Drosophila melanogaster: one gene and its partners. The protein of the gene in region 2 interacts with the protein of the main gene of each other region in a pairwise test. Each region holds a gene or a part of one and is shown on either strand. Other genes may lie near its edges.

Region 1 (4,289 bases), on a different chromosome or scaffold from region 2:
GCCCTCGGGTGAGGTGTACGAGAAGGAGCCCTGTGCGACCTTTGGAGCGGTAAAAGGGCAAATGCAAGTTAGTGCTCGTTTCGTTTGGCCAACTGGTAGCCGGCAAATGCCAGGCACGACTGTGAATGGAGTTCTCCTACACCCACCTGGCCGGCATTATCGGTGCCTGGATTCTTGAGGTAGCCCTCCTCCTCGGCGTTGATGCCGTTGCCCGTCTCGTACAGATACTTGTAGGAGCCGTCGAAGTTGACCTCCTGCTCCTGTCTGATAATTGGAATGGGTTCTCCCGGCGCTTGGCCTCTCACTTGTGGTCTGGCCTGGGCCAAGCTGAGCAGCAGGGCTGCTATGAAGAGCAGCTGAAAGCACGCGGATGCGATATCAGCATGGAGTATACCCAAGTTGATCTCTTCCATCTTACTGTGTATTGCATGTCGAACCGAGCTGTATCCTGTGATCCTGGGTCCTGGTCGTCTGCTCCGAGTTCGTCTCGATCCGTTACTGTGGTCAACAGAGGCGACTCTTTGCATATTTATACCAAATCGCTTGAACTTTTGCACACAGACACTATTGCAGTTGGAGATTAAAGAGTGAACGCCTAGCATTTTGAAGACCCGCCGATCGGAAGCCTCTTTTAGGTGGCTCTTGTCGGAGGCCAATACCATCTCCCATGGAGCGCAAATGAACCGAACCGGACCGGACCGAATCGAATCGAATCCACCTACAAGTGCACGACCCATCCGATATGCTGCAATTTGTCGAATGAGTTGTCTACATGACAGCCACAGTGGGGACTCTACTTTATCATTAGAGCAAAGAAAAATATAGTTTAGTATAATATCTCACAACATTAAGTTGTTATGCTGGAAGTTATCATCAGCACAGTTGCATCTTCAATTGCTTGCTGCAATAGAAACTATCCTAGCTAGCCATCGCCCACTGTGCACCTGTATTGCGAGGGGCGTTGGAGGCACTATGATCATCTCGGATCGTGTTGAACATGACCAGCTTGACATTCATAACTCATCCTCGGCAGCGTGAGAGGAATAGGGACAGACTGCTGCATTCCTACATCAATTTGTCAGTGCAGTCATTAGACATTTGACTCAACGGCTTGATGATCATCATTGGCGGGATTATGACTGCCACCTGACCATGATCATGTCTGGCTGGCCAACTGACTTACTCACCAGCTAACTGAATGTGGCAAGTGCCGCTTGACCTTTGCGGCAGCCGAACAGATGTTTCTTGAACAGGTCCGGCCAAAAGGCGGTAATGCCTGAGCCGGGGCGTTCCGTTGCCAGTTGAGCAAATGTCAGTTACCGCCGAAGTAGAAATGGAGGTGGAGGTGGAAGTAAAGCCCCAAATGTCCCACCGCCCAATGCTACGTGAGATGGTTAACTTCGATTGCGGTATTGTGTGAGAGCAAGAGACGGCGCTTGTTTGTTTTTTGGTATTTGGTGTTTTTATTTGGCTATTCAGGTGATGAGGATCGTATCAAGTGGCAGCATCGTGGATCGGATGGGCGGCTCTATCCGGACTTCTTGTTGAACAGCAGGGACAGGAGCTGTTGCTTGATTGGCTTAGTGGTGGTGGTGTCCGTGGTGTAGGTGTAGGTGGGGTAGGTCGGGGTGGTAGTATAGGTGTACGTCGTCGTCGTGGGCGAAGAGGGCGTTGTGGGAGTGCTGGTTGTAGTTGCGGTAGATGCCATTGCGATGGCCAGGACAGCGGAGAAACAGACGAGGACAGCGAAGAACTTCATGTTGATTGGATTTTTTGGGCTTTTAGGATTGCTGGCTGGCTGTTGCTTATCGACGGACGAGCTGCTGAACTCTGAGTGTGTCTTTCGCTGGTCCAGGCCTCACTATTTATACCCATATTTTGACTGCGGCAGTCGTAGTATTCCCTGTAATGTTTGCACAAATGGTTCCTTTACCGTTTGCTACATTGCTAGCTTTCCCCCACCAATGTTTACCGACCAACTCATTGTGAAATGCATCCAATGTTTGATCCCCTTCCATTTTCCGAAAAATAAAAGTTTTTCGGGTTGGGAGTGTCAATGACTTGGTATTCTTATTAGCTAACTATCCTAGAATATATGCCGTTCGTAGCTACTGGGCCACTCCATCGAGAAGGCAAAGTCCGGAAGTGTGGCAAGGAACTCCAGGCTCAACGCATCCCGCTTATCATGTGGACTGACATAGTGTCCAGAGACGCCCATCTCAAAGACGGGTTCATTGAAGTTGCCATCGTCCTTCTAAGAATCAGTTAGTTAGTATAGTTATCAGAACGACCCATTAAATACGCACAGAAAGTTCCACGAAGAATTCGATGGGAGTGTTATCAATACCGTAGGTTAACATGACCTCCAGAGGAGGCCTGTAAGTGGCCGGATTATCCAGCATTGCGGGAGCAAACGTCCATCGGAGTAGTTTTACACCATCCAGTGGCTTGAAGAACAGACCCATATTTGGCGGACCAGTTAGCCGGAACTCATAGCGCACCTGATAGCCACCGGACAGAACTGTCTTGCTAAGGAACTCCAAGACCGTTGGATAAGGCAGTTCCACGGGCTCCTCTCGAGCAAGCCAAAGTGCATGCTCCCGGGCACTACAATATCGGTAGCAGGGAATACCGCACATCAGCTCGGAGTCGCAATCCTCGCCCAGGCGTACCAGGTTGGTCAGGTTCATGTGATCGCGCAGAGGTGCCTCTTTGTTTCGATCCCCCAGATGGAAGTAGTAGCCAGAATCCTCGTGGCTGATGGAACCATTGTACTCGAAAAATTTGCGATGCACTTGCTGCTCCGACAAAGAATAGAACTTAGTCGTCTTTCAAAGGATGCTTATTAGTGTTTCCCTTACCATGAAGTCGGCACGCATGACATTTGTTTTGGGCCGATACGGGAATCCGACATCCGAGACGGCAATCATGCAGAAAATAAACATAACCAGTGCCAGACCACCCAGCATGCAGTTCGGTCGCCGAAAGACATTGATTAAAGGAGCCTAAGTGAAACTGATTAAGTAAAGTAGTCAATAAATGTGAATAACTTTCTTACAGCAAAAGATAACGCCAAAATTGTGCCAAAACCACATAGAGCGCCGATTAGTATATCCGGATTGGTGGAGACGCCAAAGCGACCAGTCATCGGAATGAGAATAAGTATGAACATGTGGAACAAGTAGGCGTGGTAAATGAAGGGTATAATCTGGAAAACAATCAGCACCAGTGACCACAGATAACCTAAAGTGTTGGCATGAATCATTAAAAGTTCTCCACGAATATATAAGCTAACTTACCGCGACAATGGAGACGGGTCAGTAGGTTAATGATCAGAGCAGCAACGTAGAAAATGAGAGAGATCAGAAATAGATAGGCACTACGGTATTTAAGAGCCGTTGCACCCAAACACAAGATGGCCAAAAGGACACAGTTCGCGTGACCCACAATATGCAAGTAATAAGTATGGGGGATCTTGTTCTGCAGAGGATAGCTTAGTATAACAAAATAACTTCGTTAACAAGTGATACTACTTACACACTTCGTATGCGTCAAGTAGAGGGTCATGGGCAGTACAAGGCCAATAACCGATGGACAAATGTACAACCCAATGACCAGCCAACTGTTGCTAAAATAGGTCAACGTTCTATTTCCCCAATCATAAAAGGTGGCCATCAGCAGAGGAAAGGCCACGGCGAGGAGAGCACCAGCTAGGGCTAGCAGGAATAGGAGTCCAAAGACGCCGGCATAGGTGCCCATAGTCTGTCCAGTAACCCGGGACATTCGCCACAACGAGATGCAGACCAGCAAAATGGCACCGAACGAGAAGAAGAGATTCAGGGCCAAGCTAGTCGACTCCTGGTAATGGACAAAGAACAGTCCAATAAAGTCGAAGAATACTGCATGTCCCGCCGCGTGTGCCTGTTGAAAGATTACCATGAAAAATGGACAAAAGCCACTCGAAAGAGGAAACCCACCTCTGTGTCGTACATTTCTTCGGCATTCGAAATACTCCATACCAAGGCCAGTAAATTGTCGCCGGAATTCTGCAGGGAATCGAGACTTATCACCGCGTAGCGATCGAATTTCGTGTGATAAACGAATCCATTGTACACGCCGGCCATGTCCAAGCCTGAAAGAGAAGAGCTCCTGAGTAGTGTGGTTGAAAAGGATATTTTCTTGCGCCGAGATTCCCACCTGGCACAACTCCAAAGTCCCGAAAGATCCGGAAATCAGTATCCGATGGTATGATACCAGCCTCGAACATCTCCTCGGCCGTTGTGGTGGCG
Region 2 (5,529 bases):
ATAAGCAAAGCTTCGTGCGATAAGCAGCAAACTGAACTTAAAACAGAGTGAAAATAAATTTAAAAGTTCCCAGAAAAGTATGTATGTATACTAATCTATTTATTACTATTTTAATTTGGTGGTGGTAGTGGTTTAGTAATCCGCAGCGGTGTTAGATAGGTAGTCGCGACGTCCTATGTTTGAAGCTTGCTTGTTCTGAACAGCCTCAAGTTTTGGGCACTCCGTGATGCGATGGCCCAGACCACCACAGTAGGTGCAGCCATGCGAGTCACCCAGGTCCAGGTGCTGGTGTTCGGTCTCAGGTGCCAGTTCGTCCAAGAAGTCCGGGACCTCTTGCTTGCCCTCGATTAGCAGGTGCTTCAGGTCGAGCAGAACCGACTGCTCGGTAGTCTTGTTTATCAGCGTCGTAGCCAATCCCTTAGTGTTGGAACGACCTGTGCGGCCAATACGATGCACATAGTTTTCAATATCGTCCGGCATGTCGTAGTTAATAACGTGTTGCACGTTAGGGAAGTCCAGGCCCTTCGATGCCACGTCGGTGGCCACCAGCACATCTTTTTTGCCCACGCGGTAAGCATCGACTGCCCGCGATCGTTCTTCCTGATCCTTTCCGCCGTGAATAGCCACCGCCTCCACGCCTTTCAACAGCAGATACTCATGTATGCAGTCTACATCCTGCTTCTTCTCAGCAAAAATGAGCACGGGCGGCGCGGTCTTCTGTAGGCAGTCCAGCAAATATACCACCTTTGCCTCTTGCTTAACGTACTCAACCTGTTGGGTGACGTTCATTGACGCAGCACCTGCGCGACCCACATTTATTGTGACAGGCTTCACGAGAGCTGATCGAGCAAAGTTCTGGATCTTTTTTGGCATGGTGGCAGAGAATAAAAGTGTCTGTCGCTGGCCTTTGAAGAAAGAGAATATCGTACGAACGTCCTCTTCAAATCCCATGTCAATCATGCGGTCAGCCTCGTCCATGCACAAGTACCGGCACATGTCCAGCGTAAGGATCTTCTTGTCCAGCATATCCATTAGACGACCAGGGGTCGCCACCACAATATGTACGCCGCGTGAGATGACGTCAAGGGCCTCGCTGACCGGCAAACCACCCATGGCCAGGCAGGAACGAATCTCAGGCATTCCGCATGCCTGGAGGTGCTTGCTGTAGTGTTGAATTATCTCGTGTGTTTGCTTGGCCAGTTCGCGGGACGGGCAAATGATCAGGCCGTAGGGGCCCTCGTTACGCTCAAAAGGCAGACTATACTCCTGTTCCAGGGCAAACATGATGACTGGCAGCACGAAGACAAGCGTTTTTCCAGACCCAGTGAAGGCTATTCCAATTAGGTCGCGGCCGGCTAGTACAGTGGGCAGGCCTTGCACTTGGATTGGGGTCGGGTTCTTAATGCCTTTGGCCGCTAAGCCGTTAAGTATACCTTTAGGGAACTTCATTTCCCGGAAGCTGCGAATTGGCGGGCTGGGGGTTTCTCCCTCCACTAGGATCCTCAACTCGTGGCGAACGGCCTCGCGCTCTTCCTCCGACATTTCCCGAATGTAACGCGGCGGTTTCCAAGCTGTTTTAATAGGCTGCTCGTACTGAATCCCCTTCGCCAACTCTGCCACACCCATAAGGGCCTTCTGCTGAGCAATGCTCTCCATAATCTTTTCCTCCTCTCGCAGCTGCTTTTCGACGGCACTCAACTTTTTGGCCTCGGCAATTTTCTTCAGTTCTGTGTGCTGGTCCAGCAGACTAATGTTGTACTTGCGTCCCCAGGTCTCGACATCGTGCGCACCCTGCGAGTCGTCTTCATTCTCATTCTCGCTTGACGACTTGGGCTGGGCCGTTTCCGAAACCAGTTGCACGATCCTGCCCAGCTTTATCATGTGCTGCTTCTTCCGCTCCTTCACCGGTACGTATGGCACGTAGTCCTCGTTGTCCAGGTCGCCTTCCTCCGAGGACTTAGACGACCTCCGATACCGCTTTACGTGCGCCATAGCATTCGATCTATATTTCTGATTTTTGTTTGTTTCGTTTTCGCCTAATTTGACTACAACAAAGGCCACCGTACGACGTTTTAAATTAGGCGAGCCCGAAAAATACTATATTCTAATGGGTATCGATTACAGTTATTAAACAGTGATTCCACTGACAGCTTCTTGCTTATGATATATTCATGGCATGCAGACCGGATAATAGTTTTTTTTTCAATTTGGGCAAAATCTTTCGATTTCGTTTTTAGGTGCTCTGGTTTTCTGAGTTTGAGATTGAGTCTTTCTTTTTTTGTGAAAACCAAGCAACGTGAAAAATGCAACTTTTAGCGCGAAGGTTGCCATACTGTTGGTGAAATATAACAGGCAGGTAAAAATACTTAGTAAATATATTTAAAGCAGGGCCAAAAGTGCTGTTCGTAAATAATGATAATTAATTGAATAACATAAGTGGTCAGAGCGCAGTGAATACGTAACTGCGAACATCGGAATTAAAAGTGCCAAAAACTCTGTGTAAATCGCCCAGAAACATTTTATATGAACTTATGCGTGCTATCAAAAGTGTTTCAGGAACATTTCTGTTAAACGGTTAGCGAACATGAATAGTACAGAATAGTAGAATATCGTATTGATCGGTTTCGGATCAGTCGAATGCAATATATTTTTGTGTGCATTTGGGTATAGATATATATTCTAAGCAGTGTGAATATGCTATTAAATTCAATAAATTATATCGATTGCTGACTTTGAACTAACTGTCTGCTTCTGGCTCAACTTATCGATATTGGTATATCACTCGCGACACACCACCATTTTCGACAAGTAGAAAGCGAATGAGCATTGTCTAAATTTAGCTCGGATTTTAAGTGCAAGGTACATAAGTGCCGCTGCTATGTCTATGTCAAAAACGACTAACACCTATAACCGGCAGAACTGGGAAGATGCTGAATTCCCAATTCTGTGCCAAACTTGCCTTGGCGACAATCCGTACGTGCGGATGATTAAAGAGCGGTTCGGCAAGGAATGCAAGATATGCACGCGTCCATTCACAATATTTCGATGGTGTCCTGGTGCTCGTATGCGCTTCAAAAAGACGGAGATATGTCAAACGTGTGCGCGCCTGAAGAACGTGTGTCAGACCTGCCTCTTGGACCTGGAGTACGGACTGCCGATTCAAGTACGAGATGCGGCGCTCAAAGTGGCTGACAATATGCCACAAAGCGACGTTAACAAGGAATACTACATCCAAAACATAGACGCCCAGCTGCAGGACGGAGATGGCACGGAGGCGGCAGGAGCTGTCGGTCGATCCCTCGCCGCCAACGAGATGTTGTCCAAGCTTGCGCGCACAGCACCCTATTACAAAAGAAATCGGCCGCACATCTGCTCCTTTTGGGTTAAGGGCGAGTGCAAGCGTGGAGAGGAGTGCCCATACCGCCACGACAAGCCCAACGAGCCGGACGATCCGCTATGTGAGCAAAACATCAAGGACAGGTACTACGGACGCAACGATCCTGTGGCCGAGAAGATCATGAAGCGTGCAGCCTCGCTTCCCACACTCGAGCCGCCGGAGGACCGCAACATCACAACTCTCTATGTGGGGAACCTTCCTGAAGAAATCACGGAACCCGAGCTGCGAGATCAGTTCTACCAGTTCGGCGAAATTCGATCAATTGCGCTGGTGCCACGCCAGCAGTGCGCTTTTGTGCAATACACCAAAAGAAACGCTGCCGAGCTGGCTGCTGAGCGGACCTTTAATAAACTGGTGATCCAGGGCCGGAAGGTGAGCATTAAGTGGGCTCACTCTCAGGCAAAGCAGGGCACCGCTGCAAAGACAGACAGACGCTTCGACTTGGCCGGCATTCCACCGCCTAGCGCGAAGCCCAACGACTACTTCAATCTTCGCCAAGAGCAAATCAATGTCATGCCCGCCGGCATGAAGCTGCATCAGTTGCCATCAAATCTAGTTCCGGCGTCGGCTTACCAAATGTATGGTCAGCCTACTTATGCAGCTCCCTACGGAAACGCCACTTCCACAGCCCTTTCTTCCTCGGGTGTCAATTTGGATTCCATATCGATTCCTCCGCCACCGGGTCAAGTACCGTATCCAAGTCAGGACGCCAGTCGGATGGGAGCTGTTAAAAAGTAGGAAAACCCTGTGGTCTACAATGGTTCCAATTCAATAAATCATTTTTATAAAATTAAATACAAACTTTTTAAAGTGGTCAGTTCCATAAAAATGACTTAATATTAATAGAATTTATCCGTATGGACGAAATTGTTTTCGATTCGAATTGTTAAGAAAAAACACCAAACAATTAGAGAGGAGAAGATAATAATAAATGATTTAAACTCTAAAAAAAAAAAGAAAAAAAGAACAAATTTTCGTCACAAAAGCTTATATCAAAACTTTTGTACATATGTATGTTGATGTGCGTTCGTCACTCGTTTTTACCTTTAATAAATGCTTTTCTTTGATTTGGACGATATTTGGGATTAAAAAAAGTACACCAATGCACATGTACATATGTAAGTTCATTCTTCAGTATTTATAGGGGAACTTAACATTGGGATTATGACTACCTCCCTGCATTCCATTCATTCAGATTTCATCAGCTCATTACTGATCATTAAAAATCTCGATCAAATTAATCACAGGTTAATTTGTATTAAAAAAAAAAACCATGACCTGAACCTATGTTCTAGGAAATCATCGCATAGCGCAAAATCAAAATCACGCATAAGCGCTATAAATGATAGCTCAATTCATCTCTCTACACCTCTTTTTATTCACTTAATCCTCTATCAATTTTAATGAAAAAGTGAAATTTCAGTCATTTATTAATAAAAATGTATTTTCTTAATTAGACTTATTTAAATTATGCATAGGATTTAAATTTAAGAATACAAATACATATATATGTATGTGAAATTCCAGAGTCTTTGGCGTCCTGTCCTACGGAGTTAGGACCAGCTTCTTTTCAGTTCACATGTCCGATTTACCTTAAGGTAAAATAATGTATAATTATGTATACAAAAACGAGTTAAACCAATTTACCTTAAATTATCGTTTCTGTGAGTAGTGTTTGTTGCTTATTGTAAAATAAATCCATTACCTGTAATTATTATTGAATTAAATTCCAAAATATTTACAATTTTTTTTTAAAACAAGCACTCAAAATCGCGTCTACTTCTCACAAAAGTCTATAGGCAAGTGATCTGCAAACATGTTCTATGTACATTACAAATTTAAAATTTAAATTTAAATTTGCAATTAAATAAAAAATCGCATACTGAGACCTTCGGTTAGAAATTAAAAAGCGATGAATTTGTTTTCAAAATCATCGCTTATTCCTCGTTATGATTAAGAACATTAGCATCGCTTTAAAATTTTAAGAGAGAGATGATGTAATATTTTTTAATAGCGATGAATTGTGGGACTACAGGGTAGGTAAAGGTTACATATGTACAGGTGCGAGCAGTGCAAATATGTTTATTCTAATGAAATCTTAGACTAACTGTAAATTATATAATGGCTATATT
Region 3 (5,243 bases), on a different chromosome or scaffold from region 2:
TTTTGTTGATTTCTATAAAATTGAAATAAAACATGGACTATAATATCCACAAAATATGCAGAGTTTGCCTGGAGGAACTACATCCTGTAACTTCGATATATAGTACAGACTTTGCTATGATGCCCTCCGTAATGTTGATGCAATGCGCTAAAATAAGAGTGGGTTCTAAAAACAAAATATTTCAATGTTAATTGGCATATGGAAATTGTTTTAGGTTTTTAAAACCGATGGCCTACCTTCGGTGATCTGCAACAACTGTATTTACCGGCTGGGGGTGGCCTTCCACTTCAAGCAGGAATGCGAAAACAGTGATCTCCGACTGCGACAATATCTGGGCATTCTGGAATCCTGGCGCCAGGATGCGGCCACCAATACGGACTTTGTGGAGAAGCCGTTGCTTCCGCAGCGCGATAGCGATGAAGAGGAACCCGTGGATGCCAAAGTGAGCAAGAGGCGGTCGCGCTATCAAAGAAAGCCGCCAGAAGAGCACAAAAAACGGGGGCCCAAACCTGTGCCAAAGATGCCCCACACCTGCTACGAGTGCCACAAAAGCTTCAAATGCATTGCCCAATTAACACAGCATATAAGAACACATACTGGCGAGAAACCCTACCAATGCAGCTTTTGTATCCAGAGATTCGCCCAAAAGTACAATCTTAAAGTCCACGAAAGAACGCACACGGGCGACAAGCCTTTTCAGTGTGAGATCTGCTCAAAGCAGTTTTCCGCGTTAGGCAATTTCCAGGCGCACCAGAAGATTCATTTAGGAGTGCGGGATCAGGTATGCTCGCTATGTCAGAAAGGTTTCTACACCGCCGGTGATCTCTCCAAGCACATGATAACCCATACGGGCATCAAAAACCATCACTGCGATGTCTGCGGCAAGGCTTTCAGCAGGCGAAGAGATATGCGGACTCATAAATTGAAGCTTCATCCTCTGGAGTCCAGTACAAACCATGATATAGTGGATGATGATGATGATGAGGCTATAGACACGGATCCCGTGGGTCTGGACACCCTCGATCACGCCCACTTCAAGTGTCCGGATTGCGACAAGGCATTTGATACGGCGGACAGCCTAAGTCTACATTTTCGCACGCATGCGGCGAATAATAATCTACTGAATTTGCCGTTGCCTCCTGCACCACCTATGTCGCATCACTACCATCACGATGCACTGCATCATCTCGGCCCACCGAATCCCGCCACACAAATGGGAATGGCTGCAATGGCTCACATGTTGGCACCGCCGCCGCCTCCACCGCCAACGCCAAGTGAAGGACGTTACACTATGCTGCACCACACGGCGGCACAAAGACTACATTATTAGAGTATAGCTACGAAGATTTATCTTAATCATAATTATTGTTTTAGATTATGTTTTGATATTGAACACTTTTATTTAGTTTGTCTATATAAAATGGAATATTTTGTCATGTTTGCTTTTATATCTTTACAATAAATACATGTAGAAATTTGGCAAGCACAGCTTCTATTAAGATTATTACTTAAATGCAAGAACTAAAATCACTAAAAACTCCCCGCGCGTACTTGTCGCATACTTGTCGTCGATATAAAAATGTCATTGTTGTATAAACTAAGCTTGATTTGTGTTTTCTGTAGGTAAAAATTGTAGTATCTCAATATTGGTTTGTTTGGTATTGGTATGCATCGTTGGTATCGGCTTAATCCAGTTTGAATATGTATATAAAAAGCTCAAAAATCAATCAGAGAACTATCATAAAATATTGCTTTTGACAACGGCCCGGATTGATTGATCCCAGAGATCGAAACCTCTCTACTTGAGCTTGGCTTTCAGCCACTCCTCGGTGAGTTCGTCTAGTTCGCGTATCTCGTAGACGCGTGTGAGATCTACTTCGCGCTGAAGAGCGCTCTTCGTGCAGGCGTACATCATCTGCAATTCGATCTGAAACAGAGAGTTATGAATTATAGAATATATTTGAGCATTGCTAAACTCCCACCTGGCTATCCCTGGGTGTGTAGAATATGAAGCACATTGGGTACGAAATGCGCTGATCGTCATGGACCATTTTATACGTATAGATGACATATCGGGGCTGGTGTCCTGGCAATGTATCCTGCAGCTCGTCCACCGAAATATCGTCGATGAACTCGTCCAGCACCACCGTTTGCTTCTCCCGGTCGACTTTCACTGCAAGGGACAATGGAGTGGTCATAAAAACTACACACATCTGTTACCATGACAATCAAGGCTTACATATCAAAGCCGCATTATTTTTGCTCTTGCTGAATCGAAACTTCTTCAATTCCTCCAGAACTTCGTTGCTTATGTCGCATATCTGGTTATCACTCTGTATGAAATCGATATAATTGATTAATGAATTGGAATCACCAAAGTTATCTGCTAACAACAATCGTCGATTGAAAAACAAAAACAAAAACACGCCCACACTCTATTAGTCATGTTTTCATTTTGGTAATTGATTTCCGACCCTATATACACTTCCTACCATAACTTTAGCTATGAAGTTAGGGATGCGATCTGTAAAGTGTGCTGCACTACCGAATTTTTGGCAGTTAATTGTAGGAATGCAATATCACTTGTCCTTAAGGAATCGTTTAAATACTGTCGTTTATTCTGAGTTTTGTTTTGTTGTTCCTGCAGTGAGACCGTTCACTGAACGCCAAATAATATTCTGTGCTGCATCAAAAATATGTGAAGTGTTGTTAAACGACGTTTCTGATAAATTAAAAAATAATAACAATATTTGCTAAAGGTTTTTTTTTCATTAAGCTTTTTTCTTTACGGCAACATTGGTATTATTTATGGAATTTATTAAAAATAATTGAAATGTATTTTTTAGATTGAAATAGGAACGCTCTTTTTTAAAAATGTTTTGTAGATATACTTAAAACTTATCATTATTTTATAGTAGGTAAAAATCGTTCGTATACGATATTTGGATCATGTTTGTCCTCTCTAGTGGCTGATGGACTGTCAAAAAAGTACCGTTACTTTAGGGTTGTTACAGAGAGCACTAACTTATAAATAGTTAATACTATAATCTATGTGCTTAATGTCGTAGTTACAATGAGCTTGAATTTATATGAGAGCAACATCCTTAATTCCTGCTGGAAAGCGGGAGGGCGCAAACCGAGGAAATCGGCATTTGGCCAACTTAATCGAAATGAGATCGCTGATGTGGATGTAGTCGCCTGCTGGTAATTAAATATTAAATATAATGAATTTTTTTAACATTTCATTATATTCAATTGTTTTCAACATTTATCTACATTTCAGCAAGCAAATCACCGAATTAATTGAGGAAAATGCATTAAGAAAACGCCAGAAACGATCCAATGTTTTGGCCGCAAGAAACCGGCAAAATGTTATTTTCAAGGACATTTCCCGCTTGGTTTTTGGAGTTGCGGATATTTTTAGATGCCAAGTGGATCTACTTTTGGGTAAGTATTAGTCCGAATATTACGTAACATTGATATATAATCACGAATTCTTACAGGGGACACGAAGGTATTACTTGACCAATGTACACGTACCAACTTGGATTACGTTCTCACCACAACAAAATCCGTAGTGGTCAACAAATCAGAGATTCGAATCCAACGCAAAGGAAAGCGGGTGATCACCAAGAAATCTAAAGTAACAGTATCAAAACGTCCCAGACTGCAGGAATCGGATCTATTGGATGAATTCTCACATGAATACTACGAGAAGATGCTATCCGAATGCCAGATGTGGCAAACGGAGTGCACACAACAGGTGGTGGAGGACCTGAACGAGGTTAGTCGTCAATATACTGTTGGACTGCTTCCTTATATGATTTCATTTTTCGCAAAAAGTCTATTGAACAACCCCGGAGTTGCACTCAGTCAAAGTCGTATCATTCCATTACAATCACCGAAGAGATTGAACTTCCCGAAGATCATAGCTTAATTATGCCATCAAATGGTTTTGGCGAAGCCGAGGGCGCGGACTTAACCATTTTTCAAGAGCTTTACCCCAAAGATGGCACACGGAACTCACGTAAGAATTCTCAATTCAATTGAAAATGTAATAAACTATTTTTTTGTATTATAGTAAAGCGACACTCAATAGCTCAGGATCCAACTGACATCTTACCGGATAAAATGCCCAGATTGGATGATTGCGATGTTTTCCAAGCTGACAATGCTATCATGACCCAAATCTTTCCGCATAACATTGAACCAGCTGAAGTAACTCAGATAGTTTGTGAACCGTCGTTGCCATCCGTTTTAAATTCTTTTGGAGAAATAACATTTAGCCACCCGAAAAATCGGAAAAGAAAGCTAATAGTAGACAAACGAATTGAATACACCCGGGAGCAGCTGGTGAAGCATAGACAGAAATATATGGAAGAATACCTTTCAAGGAATGTGATAGTGCCAAAATCCTCGGATTTACGGAAACCCCCTAAGGAACTTCTCTGTAAACTGTATAATAAGTAGGAGCCTTATACATTTTGCTATTTAAAACTTTTTAATTTTTTGATGTAGTGTAAGTTTTTTAGCTCTTCATAACCACTCCGGACCTAAGCTCAGTAATGAAGAAAAGGAATTCGAGGCAGAAAACACATTGAGAACCATATTTGGCTGCGAGTTTACCGAGAATCTTTCTAAAGAGATATTTGTGCGACCATCGCAGGCTACAAAATGTAGGGATAAAGCGGCACATATCTATCAGCCCGAACCGCTTGAAGTGGAAGACTGTGTGCAACCTCAACTTCAGCCACGTGATGATGTAAATCAGAATTATCATAATGAAATGAATGAGCACGGCATATACCGTGAGGATAATCATGATGGTGAGTTCAGCCAATGTTTACAACATGCTATCGTAAATAAAATATAATCTCATTGCAGATACCTACAGCGTAATGATGAGTCTCTTAAGCATTTGGCGTAATAATCCGAAAATCACGGGAATCGATGCCATTGATTTTATAAAAACGTTTGATAGTCGCATCAAGGCTTCGTTAGCCTTTCTCCATTTGTTGTGTGAGTTCGAAAAAGAACAAAATGTGTGTTGGAAATAACGTATAGCTTAAATTTCAGATCTTGTTCGAGACCATTTTATAGAGATATCAAAGCGAGCTAATTCGCTGGAAATGTACCAAATTACTCTTGGCAAAGAGTCCGCTAAGCTAATAGACAATCTTATGCTGAGTGAGACTCTGTGAATATTTTTAGATAATTTTTTTCAAGATTACCAAACAACTTTG
Region 4 (6,611 bases), on a different chromosome or scaffold from region 2:
GAAAACTTCCAATATTTCAACTTGGCAACAAATTCGTGCCAATTACCCCGTCTAACCTCGATTTCTTGGCCTGGTGTTGCAGTTTGCATTTGCAATTATTTCTTCTGTTGTTGCATTTTACATGGCAATAAACCTTTCGGACGACCGCCCACGCTAAGACAAAGAACTAAAAGGTGAAACTGAAACAACATGCTAACCCCATTTTACAGACTGGGGAAAACGACAAGGAGGGCTAGAGACGAAGGGAAAGAGACAAAAGTCGCGACATACAACAGCTGTTTCCTGCCACAAACTGATCTACCACAAATTGTTTTTACCTTCCATTATTATTGCATTGGTATAAGAAATATTAAAAAAAAAATAAGAAGATTACACAGATAAAAGCATTCTTTTTTCTGGCATTAAGTGTGCTAGTCACAGTATACATTATATAAGCCAACCCTCTCTTTACTTCTTCTTTTTTTTTTAGAACCAACAGACCGTAAAATTATTTTGTTCAGACTTTGAGCAGAATTCTAGACAATTTTACATATCCTCGTCGTACAGCTATTTTCCAACCTCTCCCTATTTTCATTGTTATTTTGTTCCTCAGGTTTTGAATTCCCGCCTAGTTTCTAATTACCAGAAAATGCAATGGCTGGCTAAGTTTGCTTTTCTTTTACTTGGAATTTGTGGCGTGCTGTTTACTTTTGTAGTCTAGTAAACTGAATCATTCTTAGTCTTATCAAATCGTTCGGCGACGTGTATAGTTAAGGTGCCCTTGTCAAAGCTTCATTTTCACGTTATCACATACAAATTTAAATAAAGGTCAATATGAGGGCCAATTAAAAGCAGGGCATGACTGATAAAGATTTTACTTTTTAAAGAACTTTATTTGCTTTGAATGATTCCAAGTTGATTTACGAAATAAGCATTCAAATAAATAAAATACAACTTTATTACAAATGATTTGGAAACCCTTATCAAAATACAATCCAATTCCTTCAATACAAGTACAGTAAGTAACCGAATAATCTGATTTCAATTCAACTAAAACTAATTTGCTAATGAAGTAAACTTTCCTTTCTTGTCAGCTGAATATTTTTGGATTATCATATCTCTTCAACCATTTTTTCCTCGCCCATGTCAGGCAATCAAAAACAGCATAATAGAAAATTATCATTAGCTACTCTTCAGCAAAATTGAATTCCACAAAGATTTGCATACAATGGTCGACGAAGGAAGGGGTGAAAATGGGGATGAGTCGAACGAGGGGAGCTCATTAAATGCAAATTTTACTTCGCTGCTGTGCACTTTTCATGCAACAAAGTGAAGTGAACAAGTTACAACAAAAAGGTTGTAAAATATACAATGATTAGCCGAAATTGGATCAGGAATGCTGAGTACCACATAAAATATTCATGATTTCAAACAAATGTATATTTAAAGACTTTGCATCAATTATATGGGAATCATATACATAAGAACTTGAAAAAAAATTGTCATTGATTATTTTTAATGTACTATTATGTATTCTATAACTTTCTTGAAAGCTTTTGCTTAAAAGAACCAAAAACTAATGATGCAATCCTTTAAAATATTTTTAATTTTCCTGCCGATTTTATGATCTTCAATAATCTGTGCCGCGATCTCACAAATATTTTTCAATTTTAAAAGTGAATAGCTAATTTTTTCGATTATTTAAAATGGTGTATTATGTATTTTATTACAACCACAATCGAGGGAGAAAAACAAATTTCGATTAAAGCACGCGAAACGCGAAAAGCAAACTGAATGAACCAGAAATTCAGGGGCAAAATAAACCGAGGCAGTCGCCAGCGATAGAGAGAAAAATGAGAGACTGGGAGAGCGAATTTGGGGAGGCGCAATCTTTATAAATAGGAAAAAATAATAATCAACAAACAAGAGCAATGACAAGGGACCGAAGAAAGAGAGCGATCCGATCCCCCAAAGGAAAAGTTTTTCGCCATATGTCCGAGGGTGATTCTCTCGCCGAATCCGCCCGCCTCCTTTATTTTGAACATATGGTTTTTGAGTCAGGGACAGCGCATAATTATGTGGAATTTATATACGGTCACCCCAAGCCAACCGCTCCCAAAATGCCTCCCATCATATGTTCATATATGCATACATACGTATGTATGTATATGTTTTACTCATTACTAAATAAAAGCGCAAGTGAATAAGCGTGGACACGAACCGAAAAGCAAGAGTAACGGGACGCATGCGGGATTGGATGGTAATCTCCATCCATTTCGTCCCATCTCTTTCGTACACCCCCTTTTTGTTGATGTCATCAGAGGGTCTTTTCCGTTCTTTTGTTATTGCGGCTACCTTAGGCCTTTTACTTATTGGTTTTTAGTGCTAGTTTTCAGTTCCGGTTAGTTGTCTTCTGTGCTGTTAGGGCACTGTGCCGTTAGATTTATATGCCTACTAATTGACGAACCATCGCTAATGAAAGAATATTTTCCTACCAAACTTAACGGTACGGAAAATGCCTAGTAAAAGAAATTAAGAAGTACGAGTTATGTATAATGAATGAACTTGGAACTGCTATGCGTTATTCTCGGTGGAAGCCCTTGATTTATTTAATTCCCTTTGAATGTAGAAACTGCCGAAAGCAATGAAAACAAGACTTGATTTTTAAAGAGGCAATATTATTTTTTTTTTTTCATCTTCCTAAGTTTACTAAACTTTTTAAGAAAATACTTAAACTTGTCTCCATTAATAATAAAAAAAATCAACACAAAAAGCACAATTAATTTACATTGTGCCGGTTTTGCAAATTTGATCACCTTATCTTTCTTCGTTTTACTTCATCAATTACCGTCAGTGTTTTTTCAACTTTTAACGCCCCATAACGAAGAATTGCTTTGAATTGTTTAAAGCTATTTTATTTTTTCTTTCATTTTGTCCCATTTATTGTATCATTTATCAATTTTATGCCACACTTGATTTCCATTTTTTATGTTTCGATAAAACACTTGGCAAACTGATTCAACCGCACTTTTCAATTTAAGATCAATCAACCAATATATTTGCCAGAGGGTATGAAAATTAGAAACATGAGCCGAACAAGGCTACTTTGATTACGGGTTTTCACAACAGACCCTGTCATTAACGAATTTGTTTTGATTTCACATTTTTCCTTAAATAAGCGGTTAATGAGCCAAAGGCACCTGACACAGCTGATAAGCGAATTCGATCGATAATAGGTAACACACAAAAAACACACGAATTGAGGTAACTTTGGGTTAATTTTCTCGAATTTCGAACCTTTTTTAATTTGGCTATTTTGCTTAGGAGAGCAGCAGCAGCAGCTGCATTTTCCTTTTCCTTGGCAATTGCATTGCCCAACAACAAAACACCCGCGCGAGAGAGCGCGAGAGAGTGAGAGACAGGGCGACCGTTCGATGCGCTGCTCCGCTTTTCTAGTGTTGTGAACGCGGCAAGCGTTAAATGCAATCTGAGAGAGGAAAGCGCTGAAAAGCCAGCGCCAAGTCGCGGCCCCTCCTCTGCCGCTGCCTCGGTCGACGTCGGCAGAAGCCGCGACTTGTTTTGGGTGCCCGAAAAAATAACGAAAAGAAATACAAAAAAACAGAGCCCCAAAGCAAAACGAACGCAATAGAAAAATTCCACTAATGTGACTTAGCAGTGTTGGAAATTCGTATTACATGCACTTGAGAAAAGAAAATTTTGTTTGCTGAGTGGCTTATATGCACATACACATATACACATTGTATAACATAGTTAGCCAGGTGTTTTTAGGTTTGAAAAGAAATACTAACTTCCAAATATAATATTTGTTTAAACAAAACTTATATTGCAGAATATATTTAAAAAATAATGGATTCAATTTGAGTTTTTGAATGTATTTAGTAAAGTGCACTTTACCAAACATATACATATGTATTACTGGTGGTTAATTCTTTTTTTTCATCAGTGTATGTGACTTAATAGACATTTGCAAAGTGCATTCGGGTAAAGTGGATAGAATGGCTTGAGGGAAAGGTGATGGGAGACAGAATGAGAATCGAGTGGAAAGAATCAAAAGCGACATATGTGAGCAACTCTTGAACTAAATTGAGTCAATTAAAAGTAATGGAAAGAAAAATCAAAGGAAAATGAGTCAGGGAACTGGGCTGTTCAGGGTGCACCGGATTATTCAACGAATTGGTCTGAAATGCGTAACATATGAGAGCGATGTAAATAGTTGAACCGACAAAATACATTTTTTTGCACCCCCTTTTATTTTGCAAAGTTTTCTTGAAAAGTATAATTTCAGTGTAATAGTGTAAATGTGTGATTGACAGCACTATTATGTATTGACACCCTTCAGAGGGCTCCGCAGTCTTCGATAATTACTTTCTTGCTGGTCTTCCCATCTTGTGAACCGTAAGATTCTACCTTCTGGACGATATCCATTCCCTCAACGACCTTGCCGAACACGACATGCTTATTATCCAGCCATGTGGTTTTCCCGGTGCAAATGAAAAACTGAGATCCATTGGTATTGGCCCCAGCATTGGCCATCGAAAGTACACCAGCTCCGGTATGCTTTAGCTCGAAATTCTCATCGGGAAACTTGTTTCCATAAATGGAGCGTCCTCCAGTTCCGTTTTGATTAGTGAAATCACCGCCCTGACACATGAAATTCGGGATGACGCGGTGGAATGGTGATCCCTTGTAGCCGTACCCCTTCTCTCCGGTGCAGAGGGCCCGGAAATTCTCCGCCGTCTTGGGCACCACATCCGAACGTAGTTCCATCACAATTCTACCTAACTTCTCACCTCCTGCGGCTATATCGAAGTAAACGCGTGGCAACGACATCTTCGCAGATGCCGAAAATTTTCGGAGAAAAGCCAGATCTATTAGGTTTAAAATCGAACGATGCCTTGTTCAAAAACAAGAAATATATTTACCGGATAACTTGGTGGTGTCAGCTTTATGATAAAAAAAAGTAACGACTTTCAAGAGAACCGTACAGTAGAACAGCTGGAACTGAACTGACGAATATTCTGGGCTAGTCAGGGATCTGAAGTAAGGGCTCGTTGAAATTCATTTCACAGCCTTCTTTATAAAATCCAGTAGCAAAAAAAAATGCCTGCTTTGGCTTCCACAATTTTTAATACATTGCAAATGATCGGTATATTTGGATATTTTAAGGTAATATTGTCCTTAAAATACCTTTATCCGTGTCTAATCTTACAGACCTTATTTACTCTTCTAATTTGTTTAACCGCCGCCTTAATCAACGCAAAACTCACAGATACTTTTAAAGCCGGCTATATTTACCTTTCATTTGCAGTTGTGTACAAACTTTATATATCCATCCACGCGATGAGTGTATGTTTGTATAATTAGGCAAAAAAAATAGTCAATATTTATTTGCCAAAGCAAATACAAACTGTGAGAATTATCCACGTTTTAAAGAAGCTGCTATTGCATTTATATTTATTCATTTGTTTGTTGTCTATATGAACGCATAGCACTCCTTTAAAACTCTTCTATCCCCGACTTCTTTGGGTTTAGCACATTTTGTGTATATATTAAAGTCCAGGGCCTAGTGAGTTTCCAAGACAACAATTGCTATTTGGGTATACATATACATAAGAATTGTTATAAGGGGAAAATAAAGGAAGGTTGAAGTACGATAAGATTGGCTAGTAACCGAGAACGTTGTAAACACAATGTTCGATAAAGTAGGTTTGGCATATTTAATAAGTTGCACGGACTTTCCCTTTATAAGCTTTATAATCATTTTTTATGTATTTTTCGCTCATAAATAAAAATAAAAATTAAAAACAAGCTACTTCAAGACCCTTAGATAATCTCCCCTCAAAATGCCAAAAGTTCAAGATGATTTAACGAAAGAAGGTTATTCGCACGTAGGTCGTAATTGTTAACTCGACTCTCCACTGTCTCATTACTTATAATAAATTGTAGTGCGACCGAATAGCGAAGACAAGAAAGATACAATCCATAGTTGGCCAAGACAAGTGTAGCCCCAACTGAACTCGAACTCGAAACCGATTCGATTCGTTTTGACTAGTTACCCATTAATGTAACGCCCCGTTCGCCTTGGACAACCTTGTGCAAAAAGTAATATACGGAAAGCCAACATGACGTAATGGAAAGCGTAGGATTTCTACTTGCCAACTGCTCCCACTGCCACGCCCCCAGAAATAGGCGCCTCTTTTATGGACTTGCGAGTGTATGAGTGTGTGTGGGAACATAAATTCACATTATGGCCAATTCTTCGGGCGATTTTTCAGCTTAGATAAAAGGTAGACAAGAAACACTTTTGTGGGTTCGTTTTAGCACTTACCAAGTGGAATTGGTAAGATAAGAGTGCTCGAGGTAGTTTGTGTTTAGCTATTGTTTTGCTTACCTGGAAATAAAGGAAAATAAAGAACAAATTATTATTAGATTTGGAATAGCAGAAGTCAAGATAATAGATATGGAAATGAGGTGAATGTAAAGTCAACACAAGAAGCACTTTAATGTCAAGCAATGTTTTTCACAGGATGTACAAGACAAAGGGGAAGAAGAAAGAACCCAAAAACAACTAACCTCACACAAACTGTTACACTTTTCCCAAAAACTTTAAT

The links.
Region 1: the proteins of CG14641 (region 2) and CG13159 interact in a two-hybrid assay, tested with the Drosophila melanogaster proteins (one large-scale study listed by BioGRID).
Region 3: the proteins of CG14641 (region 2) and GMF interact in a two-hybrid assay, tested with the Drosophila melanogaster proteins (one large-scale study listed by BioGRID).
Region 4: the proteins of CG14641 (region 2) and nuf interact in a two-hybrid assay, tested with the Drosophila melanogaster proteins (one large-scale study listed by BioGRID).

What each region holds. Positions count from the first base shown.
Region 1 is NT_033778.4:12,372,839-12,377,127, reverse strand, and holds CG13159 (uncharacterized protein), read right to left. Parts: upstream 1,843-4,289; 5' UTR 1,760-1,842; coding exon 1,529-1,759; 3' UTR 1,450-1,528; downstream 1-1,449. Other genes in the region: Cpr49Aa (cuticular protein 49Aa), read right to left, coding at 1-39, 147-356, 419-430; CG13160 (uncharacterized protein), read right to left, coding at 2,087-2,254, 2,307-2,798, 2,862-3,005, 3,059-3,243, 3,300-3,480, 3,538-3,921, 3,978-4,132, 4,198-4,289.
Region 2 is NT_033777.3:4,229,592-4,235,120, reverse strand, and holds CG14641 (uncharacterized protein), read left to right. Parts: upstream 1-2,778; 5' UTR 2,779-2,878; coding exon 2,879-4,135; 3' UTR 4,136-4,342; downstream 4,343-5,529. Other genes in the region: abs (abstrakt), read right to left, coding at 133-1,992.
Region 3 is NT_033779.5:16,300,279-16,305,521, forward strand, and holds GMF (glia maturation factor), read right to left. Parts: upstream 2,677-5,243; 5' UTR 2,496-2,676; coding exon 2,493-2,495; intron 2,334-2,492; coding exon 2,240-2,333; intron 2,174-2,239; coding exon 1,983-2,173; intron 1,928-1,982; coding exon 1,799-1,927; 3' UTR 1,378-1,798; downstream 1-1,377. Other genes in the region: CG17328 (uncharacterized protein), read left to right, coding at 33-158, 215-1,330; c(2)M (crossover suppressor on 2 of manheim), read left to right, coding at 3,074-3,204, 3,284-3,447, 3,504-3,784, 3,844-4,027, 4,082-4,466, 4,519-4,826, 4,885-5,019, 5,077-5,201. UniProt on the Drosophila melanogaster protein: Inhibits Arp2/3-mediated actin nucleation. Together with flr, promotes Arp2/3-nucleated actin filament array disassembly. Promotes debranching. Regulates lamellipodial protrusion dynamics possibly by facilitating lamellipodial retraction.
Region 4 is NT_037436.4:14,216,602-14,223,212, reverse strand, and holds the start of nuf (nuclear fallout), read right to left. Parts: upstream 3,472-6,611; 5' UTR 3,277-3,471; intron 1,774-3,276; exon of another isoform or gene 1,713-1,773; intron 1-1,712. Other genes in the region: CG7768 (uncharacterized protein), read right to left, coding at 4,336-4,830.